Caenorhabditis elegans: one gene and its partner. The protein of the gene in region 1 interacts with the protein of each later gene in a pairwise test. Each region holds a gene or a part of one and is shown in the gene's direction. Other genes may lie near its edges.

Region 1 (6,056 bases):
ATTTGGCCTCGCCACGAACTATTTAAATGTTCTCAAATTGAATCTGTTAAAAATGTATGCGCCTATAAGTCTTACAGTAACCCATAGTTGGTTACTGTACTCCTTAGAGGCGCAAACTACTTTACCGTGTACTCGACGGACATATTTCGGTCGTAGCAAGATCAAGGACTGTATTTTTGAGTGAAAAACTGAATAATAATAGGTTTTACCTCACTTCGTGTGTTTTCTATACAAGTTTGGAATTAATATATAACCGCAGCCGCCAAAGGAGAATTCTTAATTCATTTGCGCAAAAATTAAAAAATAGTTTTGTAGAAATATTTTTGTTCCGAGAAAGTAGCCGTTCTCCTATAGGATATTATAAATATTGCTGAAGTGGAGAGAAAGTTTATAGTACAGTACTCCAAAAAAAATTCAGGGTATATCCGAGTCGCTAAAAAGGAGATTCGATTCGATTTTCTTCTGCAGTCACGAATTCAATTCAATTGGGAATAAATTCGAAACAAAACTAAACCAAAAACTTGCATAAAACATTTGAAAAAAGTGGCGCGGAAGTGACACTGACGGCTGTCCTTTATGTCCGTCCATGTACACAGCTGGAGTAGAAAGATCGATTGTGCTCAGAGCGTGATTTGGAGGAAGGTCGTATTTTATATGCAAGTGACAGTTTCAGATAACACATTTTTTCAGAGAACTACAGTAATGACATTGATTATTTTTCCGAAAGGTTTCTAGGTACTGAACAATTGGTCTTCAAAAATTTCGGAAACTCGTATCAGTGTTTTTCCAAATATTTTTAAAAACTGAGCGAATAACCAAAATATAATCTTCAAATTTGCTTGTGTATTCTAATGCTTTACAGTATACAGAGATAATAGGCTTGTTTATGTTCTCCTACAGTACCCCTCCACACTCGGGAATTATATATTCCTCATTTATCCTTCATTTTTAAATATTTTACATATATCTCATATGAATTCGTTGCTACTATGATCACCATTCTTTTTAATTTTCAGTTTAACACTGTCATGAAAAGTTTTGAAGAACATTTTCCAATATTCACTTCTATGTACTCATAAATTTCGTTTTCCTGCGTATTGTGTCTCTAGTAAGTGCCAATGGGGCGCGTTTTCATCAAAAATTTTTGAAGATATTTTTTTTCCTAGTATTTTTTTATTAATTTTCTTCACATTTTTTTCAAATTTAATACATTCGATTATATAACATATATTTTGCTTCATAAAATTCCCCATTTCCTATGTCCGTTTAAAAATATTTTGTCCCCTTCCGGAATTCCATGACCAATTCAATTCCTTCTAAAATATCAAATTACTGGAAGACTTTGACTTCTCGCTTTGTCCTTTTCGTTTCCAATTTTTAAAACAAATAAAAAGGCAGAAAATAAAACAGATTTTGTTCCAGATGAGATTGACTCGGATTTTGCGTGTTTTAATCAGAAGAAAAGACGGGCAGGCCGAATGGAAGGAAATCACGGAAAATCAGTTACCTAAAGGAGGAAAGAAGCTTTCTTTTAGAGAGGTCTATTTTGATAATCAATTTTAAAAACGAATTAAGTATTTTCCAGAACTCCCTAATCGCATTTGGAGTAGGCATGCTGATATTTTCTTATGCCTACTTCCAAGATGAGATCAATCCTGATTCAAAGTGGGCTAGTGAGTTGATATTCTCAATTAAAATGTTATCTTCAACTACTTAATTCTAGAAGCATACCGCACGTTCACACGAGAACCTCTTGCCTGGCTCACCAAGGGGCAAACCGATTCGCCTGTCTCATCTGATCACAAGCCTCCAGTTTTCTAATTTGCTCGGTTGTTTTTTAGCATTTATTTCCAAAGTTTCGTTAGTTATTTGTACATAAACCTATTATTTTTTCTTTTTTGTGTGAATTTCTGCTGCTTTCATTGCGAACTCGCTTTGTTGTCTGCGCTATGTCGTCAATTGCGGTGTTTGCGTCCAACCACTAATTTCCACGTCTTTTTTCATTTTCAGCTTTTAAAATCGATAGATTTTACTGTTTTTCGGCGTAAAGCTGGATTAATCAGTGATATGGTCGATGCCGCTGCACCTGCCAAAGCTGAAATGCTGGCAGCGGCCAGGAAAAAGGTGAGAATCGTGAGGAAACTTTATTAAAACAAAGTTTATAGAGTAAATTTTACAGCTGAAAGACTTTGAAGCACGTCAAAGACTCGATGGACGTAATTCTCCTGCATCAAGTATCATTTCATCAGAGCCGGGTGCTGGAGCAGGTTTAAATGGACGGAGCAGCGTTGTCAGTGAAGATTCGACAGCGCTTCAAATTCCACACTCATCTTCTTCTGCACAAAGTTTGAATGCAAGAAATGGATTGGATGTGAGAAAATCGATAACATCGTTAAATGAGTAAATGTTTTCTTCAGGCTTCACCATTTCAACCGAACGGAAACGAATGGTATCAGGCATATACACAATTGAAGACCCAGCATGACGAATTGGTAAGGATAATGAGAAATTGACAAATACAAAAACTAATTCGTTAATTATATGAATAATGATTTTATTAAAAAAAAAATCATTTTAGTGTGCCCATTACTCCCAACTTCATTCCGCTTATTCACAAGTCAATGCAAATGGAATACATGTGGATACAGAAAATCAAATTGTCCAACTCCAAAATGTAAGGATTACTCGTTTTATTTATTTTAATTTAATGATGGAGTATTCAGGCATTGTCTGCAATGGTTGAAGAGAAAGTTTCGTCTCAAAGTGATCTTCGTCAGGCAAACAAGCAAATCGAAAAACTTCGACACAAGCTGGCTGCTGCAGAGAACATTGCCAACCAAATGAGCAATTCAACATCATCTGGACTTTCGTCAAACGAAATTCGAAAACTCAATGAAGCAATTGCACAAAAAGATTCCCTATTAACTGCACGTCATCAAGAGCTAGAAGGAGCTCGACGAGAAGTTGCATCAATGCAAGCTAACCTGCTAAATGTTCAACACGAGAGAAGTGAAGCACAAGCACGTGTGAAAAGTATGATAAAAGAAACGGCGGCTCAAGAAAATCGCATCAGTCAGCTCATGAAAGACATTCAAATGAAAGATCTTTATTTGAAACAACTTGGAGCCACAGGACCGCCGGGAGGGATTCCGAATGAGAATACGAATTATGAAAACTTGCAACGTGAGCTGGAGAACGTTAAAGCTGAAAAATCACGTCTTCTCGTCGAATCTGCGACATTAAAAGCTCACTATGCTGATCGAGAGTATGCACTTCAACAAAAGCAAGCAGAGATGGCTTTAGAAATCGAGCATTTGCATAATCAAAAATTTTCTTCAAACGATCAAGTTGAACATCTCGAAAATCAACTCGAAATTGCTCAATCTGAACTGCAGAAGCTTCAAATGAATATGGATGTTTCTGAGAGGCATGATGAAATTCCAACTATCACAGAAGAAGATGTAGCAAGACGGATTCGTGAAGCGTGTTTCGTTGAAAGAGGGAAGTGGGAACGAAGAAGTGAGGATGATCAGAAACGCAGAGAAGAAGAAATTCTAGAAAAAGACAAAGTTATTTTCGAAAGAGAACAGTCATTGGCAGAACTTGAAATGAAATATCGACTTTTGGAAGAACGAACGTTAGAGTCAACTGCAAACGGAGCTGATTTGTTGTCTCTTTCAGAGCAACTACAGGTAGATTTACAATTTTCAATATTTTTCCCTGATTTTTCAAATTTTCGAATTTACAGAACGAAAAAGCGACCGTATCCCGCGCAGTGGCACAAAACAAAGAGCTTAAAGAACGTCTCTTGGAAACGGAAGACCGATTTGTTACTCTTACGAAAGAAAAAGCAGATGTCGAGCTTGCAAAACAATCTGCTGAGCATCAAGTACGGGAATTGACAAAGCAGTTGAATTTAGAAACCGCGGGTCTTGTTGGTAATCTGTCAGAAGTAATCGCTCGACAACCTCATCTCGAAGCATCACAAGAATCTGCTGCAAGTCAAGAACAACGTGAAGAATCTCAAGAAATCGTGAAACTCAATGAAGAATTGAAAGAAAATATCTCAACGCTTCAAAGAGAAAATGCAGAAATCAGATCCGATTTAGAGCTGAAAACTCATGAACTTCAACTGGTCCGTGCTGATTTGAGACGAAGTAACACTCATAATGAACAAATGGACGAAATAATGAGGCAAAATGCAGAAGATGAGAATCAGAATTCGATTCACGTTGAGCTCACTCAAGCAGTTGGCAGAGTTCAGGATCTTCATGCCGAAAATGAAGCACTCAGAGAAGCTTTTAATAATTGCCGTCAACAATTGGAAGATGAACGAGCTGATAGAAGAGCAGAGGAAGAACGGAAAGATCTCGAAAGCAAACAGGAACAGCTGGAGTTGAAAGAAACCAAGGTTCCAGAAGAAGCTGAAAATCAGCAGTCTTCTAGAGAGCTTCATGAAGATCTATGGGCACGAAAAGAATTAGAGAAACGATTCGCTCGAGCAATGCTTCAGAATGCTGAACTCGTTGAGACAATTGATCGATTAGAGCACATCAACCAGCAGCTAGAACTCGAAAATGACACAATTGCTGATCACGTTGTTCTCTATCAGCATCAGAGAAAATTGGTTCGTGAAAGGCTTCGTGTAAAAGATGAACAATTGAAGGCTATGGAAGAGGACAGAACGAAAACTGTTGCACGATGCCAAGAACTGCAAAATGTGTTAATGACTGTACTTAACAAAGGTGGAGTATTAAAGGTAATTAATCTATGAAACTGTAATACCTACAAGCTAATTTTTAGGAATACCAGACAAGCTCAATCTCCCGAAAAGCAGCTCGCCGAGTTTCCCGAAGCTATAGCCATTCGACAGTTGATGAAATGAGCGGAGACGAAGATGTTTTGGTGGACGCCAAATTGGAAGAAGTTCCAGAGCGTGAAAAAGTACATGGTAATAGTGATGATGAGAAGATTCCAAGTACTCCACCACCAACTGTGTTGGAAGCTCAAAATAGTCCACGATTATCGGATTGTTCTGCTGACAAAGATAATAGTGATACTTTCGGGCAAACCCAAGATGCATCTGTTAGACGAATTTTGGAAATTATTTCTGATATCAGTGTAAGTAGAATATTCTTTGATTCATCGTTCCCAAATATATCTTTACAGAGACCCCAAATTCTACCCGCTGGACAACTCCACTGTACACAATGCATTGGAGATCTTCAAGAACTCTGAATAAAAATGTGCATAATGACTTTACTGTAAACTTTCTTTTAGCTTATAATGTGGGTACAACTTTTAGCTAATTATTATTCTTTATTGTTTCCAGTCCCCGTTTTTTTTGTAAATTTCGACTCTCCCGCTGACTTATTTAAATTATCGTTTTCATCCCCCAATCACTTCCTGTGTTCATTTGTGATATTTATAAGTGACAATTTTCTATTAATTTTATTGAAGTCCGATTAGTTGGTAAGCAAATGGTAATTATTATTTATTTTTTCGTTAATTATTCTTCTTGGGAATAAATGTAAAAACTTTAAAATGTAACTCTCCCCAGTGCTCTTTTATCGGGTTCAACTTGATTTTCCAGAAACTTATTTTGATTTTCAGAGACTTGCTTTTCAAATACAAAGAAACTACCAATAGTTGCTTATTCCAGATTTCAATAAAAAATGCGATTACCATGTGAAGTGGTTTTTGCACGTTATAAAGCAAATGCCGGAGTTAATCCAAAACCCACGAAATCGCAAAAAGGATTTGTTATTCTGCAAAAACTTCGACAGGTAATTTAAATTTTCATAAGTTAATATGTAACAAAACAAAAAAATATTTCCAGACCCCTCCACAATATCAGATAACAGTGGCCGTGGCCGGTGACAAAACTGGAAATAAATTCGAGCTCAACAAGCCGCCAATTATTCTCGACAAATTTATTGCTCAAGGAAAAACCACTATCACATTTCAAACAACTCCTGCTGTGATGGTTTGCATCAGTAAAGTACGTGTAAAGCATTTTTCAATATAAAAATAATAATTTTTATTGTTCAGGCGAA
Region 2 (4,470 bases), on another chromosome or scaffold:
AAAACAAAGATTTAAGCAGCAGTGAGGTATTTTTAAATAAAAAAAATATATCTCTTCTTTGTCACTACTTTTTATGTTCGTAAAATGAATCCATCGTTGGTTTTTACAGATGATCTCAAAATTTTCTAAGGGTATGTTAGTAATATTTTTCAAAGTGAAGGGCCTTTGTGACAAACTTCTCGGCCATCCTGTTGGAGTCCTAAATATATTTATTTTTAAACATCAATCAGCAAACTCTTAACAACAAGCATGATTTTTTTGAACATTTAGAAAATTAGATAAAAATTTGGATTCTTTATTTGCAGAGTCTTAGCTCTTCAGTTCAACGTTCCAAATTTCAAAAACCAAAAAAAGCATCTCAATTGAACAATTGTTGGCATGTTGTACAACAAAAAGGTCGAGAGGTGTCTGAAGTGACACGTGTCTTCCTATAAATTGCACTTGATAGACTGTAATGGGTACTGAGATTGAAAACACCTGTTTTGAGGGATATGGACACTTGGTACATATATGACTACTACATTTTACAGTCTTTAGTGAGATAATGTGGACATATGTTTGTGAATAATATGATGTAACTTTGAGACGATTCAGATTATGAATTCCATTAAAAATTGCAGTGCAAACCTTCAAATAATTTGCAGTGTTGTGGAAAACGGTAAAAGCATTATAATCATATATGAATGTCCCTCTCAGCCTTTTTAATAATAATTATTAAAAATAGTGTAACTCTGAAGAGGATAAAAATTAAGGAAATTTGGTCGGGATATTTTTTGTTCTAGAACTGTATTTTAGATCTAAAAAAACAGGTTGGAAAAATCTCAATTAAACATTTTTTAATGTAAACTTTGGTCACTTTAAACTTCATGCAAGATGCTGTCAAATATTCTAATTTTTATTTCTAAGGTCTTATTTTTCAATTTATTCAGTTCCAACTGATCAAAAAATCATTTCATTATTTGTGTAGTTTGTGTTTTGTTTCATGTATCCGAGGTCCAAAGTATTTCCAATCACTTTTTAATTGAAAAATCCAGAGATTATCCGCTTATATTCACAAATGTTCAAATTGATATATTTGGAGCATTGAGCACAAATAAACCTACTATTTAGTCACTAGAAAATAGACAGACGGCGTTGAAATTAGGTATGATGTAACAGGTCATGAACTGTGTCACCTGTCCCATCTGCCTGCATGATTGAGCGAGCTTAAACGGTGAGAGTACTGTAGATGGCTTATTGACAGATGAACAAAATTTGAAACTTTTTGAATCTCAATTTTTGAGATATAGCCACAGGTTTCTGTGTTGATGGTTTTCCACAGTTGAGCTACAGTACTCAATTTCGAGAGAAGCATCTACATCTACAGTTTTTCATAATTTCAAAAAATTTCCTACTTGAAATAATTGTTTAATAAAAAGTTATGTATAAAAAGTAATAATTGTTATGTTTCTAAACAAAAATCCATGTTTTTAAATCCTCTAATTTTACAATTTTTCATTGACTAAATATCAAAACGTGTTGTAAACTCAACCATAACCGCCTCAGCCATTATATTTCTAAAATAACCTGTGTCCCTCTTGGGACCACCTACTGCGCATGTCTACCAGCTTGTTGGAGCAATTCTTGTGGTTCCGCCTCTTCGTGAGCTCCGACCAATCAGATCGTCTCATTAAGACCACGCCCAGTCTTGTTAAGCTCAACAGATTTTGTGTGTAGTTCACAGCTTGATTCATTTCTGATAGAATATGATAACTACCCCGAATATTAGTTTAACACCAACTGTTGCTCCTCCAGTAGATTTCCCCATAATTGGCAATTGTGGTGAGTTATTGAGTTTAATAGGTTCTTGATATTTCGTTAATATTTTTTGGTTTTGGAGATTGTGTCAAAATATTGTATTTTTCCTATTAGTCTTGCACCCCCATTGCTCCAAAGTGGCAGCTCTTATTTTGGATCTATCAAAAATTGTTCAATAACAAAAATATAAAGAATAATGTATCTGACACCTATATTTACTGTTCCACAATGTTTTAAAAAAAACCAGAGACAACCGAGATAAAAACAGTCAAAGTTGAGCAAATGTTGAGCAATCGGTGGTGATACTTATTTAACCTTTTAGTCCAAATTTTCTTTCAGATTTTCAAGCCCAACTATGGCATCTAATGAGTCTACACCTACAAATGCAAAAGTCTTCAGCTGCATCTACTTCGTCCTCTTCTAGTTCGTCAACGTCCTCTGAAAATCTGAAGAAATCTCCATCATCTGTACAAAATACCTCTGTATTCTCAATAGACAATATTCTAAACTCTCAAAAAGTTCCAAAACTAGAATTGGAAAACGATGAAGATGTATCTTCATCTCCGTCTCCAACATGTTCTACCACTGGATATACATTGGATTCACTTCAAAATTTGGATAGAAGAAGCTTGAATAAAAAAGGGTTAGTGAAGTAATTGAAACGGAAGAAGACTCCCGTATAACTTTTTTTCAGACCATCCTCTCATAACAGATGTGTATGTGACAAATGTGGGAAAAGCTACGCAACAACTTCCAATCTCAGTCGACACAAGCAGGTAGGTAAAACAGTGTTTTTCTGACAGCTATGACATAACATATTGCTTCCTTCGTGTTCCTGGATTGAGAATTCTTTTGTTTTGAAAGTAACAATTTCAGACGCACAGAGCTTTGGATAGTCCACATGCCAAACAATGCCCTCATTGTGATCGAGTCTACGTCAGTATGCCTGCACTAAGGTAAGAGCTTTACTTTTCAAAAAGTATTATTGTATTTTATAATGAGAAACGTGTAAAACTGAGGAATTCGAGTCAATAACTTTCAGAAGTGAAGTTTTTGAATTTCTTAGAAAAAATTCTAAATCTGGTTATTACGCAGGCGCAAAATATTGTCATTTTTGAAAAATACGGTACCCGGTCTCGACACGAAAAAATTTGGTTAAATGCAAAAAGGTGTCCCTTTAAAAGAGCATCAACGAGAGAGTTTGAAAAATACAGTACTCTCAAAAAATTGTCGTGTAAAGACCAGGTACAGTACTTTGGGCGCAAAATTGCAATATTTCGCGTATAGGTAATACGTTTTCACACCAGAGTTTATTTGAAATATCGAGCTAACTCAGTTCAAAGAATAGAGAATCATTACTTCCAAATAATATCCAGAATGTAATTGAAACCACGTTTGTAAGGTTAATCTCCTCAAGCTTTCACTTCGTATTATTTAATCACCAACAATTCGCACCTGCCTTATTCTCATCAGAAGACAATCTTCCGATTGCGCAATCACCACCTGTACCTGTATTTCTTTGCGTCAACACACATTGTACACTATTGTAGTTAGGCGGATAATAGAAATTATATAATACATGGTAATAATAAGAATTCGATGGAATTAGTAGTGAAACTAGCAACCAGAAAGCTGGGGCTAAGTGTTCACAATCTAGTAGAGACTTAGGATTGGACGTTAACTTTTTCTCCTAGTTTTACAAGTTAAACTGAATTTCAGCATGCACATTTTAACACACAACGCTTCTCATGAATGTAATGTTTGCGGGAAACGATTTTCGAGACTTTGGCTGCTCCAGGGACATCTTCGTTCTCACACAGGTCTTCGGCCTTTCTCTTGTGCTCATTGTGGAAAATCATTTGCTGATCGGAGCAACTTACGAGCGCACATGCTAACTCATACAGGTATTTACGCATATATTTTCACACCTAACAGTTCTTCAATATTTGTTGTTCCAGGTGACAAACGATTCGAATGTGATAAATGTGGTCGTCGATTTGCCCTGCGAGCTTATTTAAATCGTCATTTGGAAACGTGCAAATGACATCCATGTTCAACCAGACCTCAAGCTCTTCTAGTCATTTGCAAATCGTCTAGTCTCATATTGTAAAATGCTTATTTGCCTACTTACAAGCTTTATTACAATACAATAAATAATTTGGACAAAAATTCTACACAAAAACATGGAAATCATTATGAGTTGTATGTTGGAACCGATGAAATTTGGAGAAGCGAATTGAATTTTCTAGAAGTGCGTGGCTTCCAGATCGATTACAGTACACTTGATAATTTGGACATATAAAAAAATGAATAGGAAAATTTCACGTTATGATTACCAGAACCGGTTGAGAATGTAGGGAATACGTTGGAAATTACATGTGGCGGGTGTTTCCCATGTTAAGTCCTGAAGCAGTTGCCCCTTTGTTGCTGCCCATTTGAAGACCAATCACGTTATGTCCAGCTTTCAATTGCTCATCGGTCCATTCACGACGATCTCCTTGAGCTTCCTTCGGTCCGAGACCAGATCGACCGAAGTTCTTCTCAGACTTTCGTGCCAAAGAAGCGAGACAGATGAGGACAGCATTTGGGTCCTGTCCTTCGTAGAGATCAACAGTCTGAAAACAATTGATGTCATAATGTGTTTAGTGAAAGGACAAACCTGGAAGAGTTCCG

What was found. The genes of interacting proteins can lie anywhere in the genome.
Region 2: the proteins of golg-2 (region 1) and ces-1 interact in a two-hybrid assay, tested with the Caenorhabditis elegans proteins (one large-scale study listed by BioGRID).

Annotation. Positions count from the first base shown.
Region 1 is NC_003280.10:5,036,046-5,042,101, reverse strand, and holds golg-2 (Golgin subfamily A conserved domain-containing protein), read left to right. Parts: upstream 1-2,010; 5' UTR 2,011-2,067; coding exon 2,068-2,124; intron 2,125-2,179; coding exon 2,180-2,371; intron 2,372-2,417; coding exon 2,418-2,492; intron 2,493-2,578; coding exon 2,579-2,674; intron 2,675-2,723; coding exon 2,724-3,692; intron 3,693-3,748; coding exon 3,749-4,759; intron 4,760-4,803; coding exon 4,804-5,121; intron 5,122-5,169; coding exon 5,170-5,238; 3' UTR 5,239-5,544; downstream 5,545-6,056. Other genes in the region: F33G12.7 (uncharacterized protein), read left to right, coding at 1,423-1,539, 1,586-1,673, 1,724-1,821; lrr-1 (PIF1/LRR1 pleckstrin homology domain-containing protein), read left to right, coding at 5,676-5,786, 5,840-6,001, 6,052-6,056.
Region 2 is NC_003279.8:8,632,204-8,636,673, forward strand, and holds ces-1 (C2H2-type domain-containing protein), read left to right. Parts: upstream 1-1,693; 5' UTR 1,694-1,745; coding exon 1,746-1,821; intron 1,822-2,136; coding exon 2,137-2,440; intron 2,441-2,491; coding exon 2,492-2,573; intron 2,574-2,673; coding exon 2,674-2,753; intron 2,754-3,516; coding exon 3,517-3,701; intron 3,702-3,755; coding exon 3,756-3,841; 3' UTR 3,842-3,966; downstream 3,967-4,470. Other genes in the region: cpn-1 (Calponin-homology (CH) domain-containing protein), read right to left, coding at 4,170-4,412, 4,457-4,470.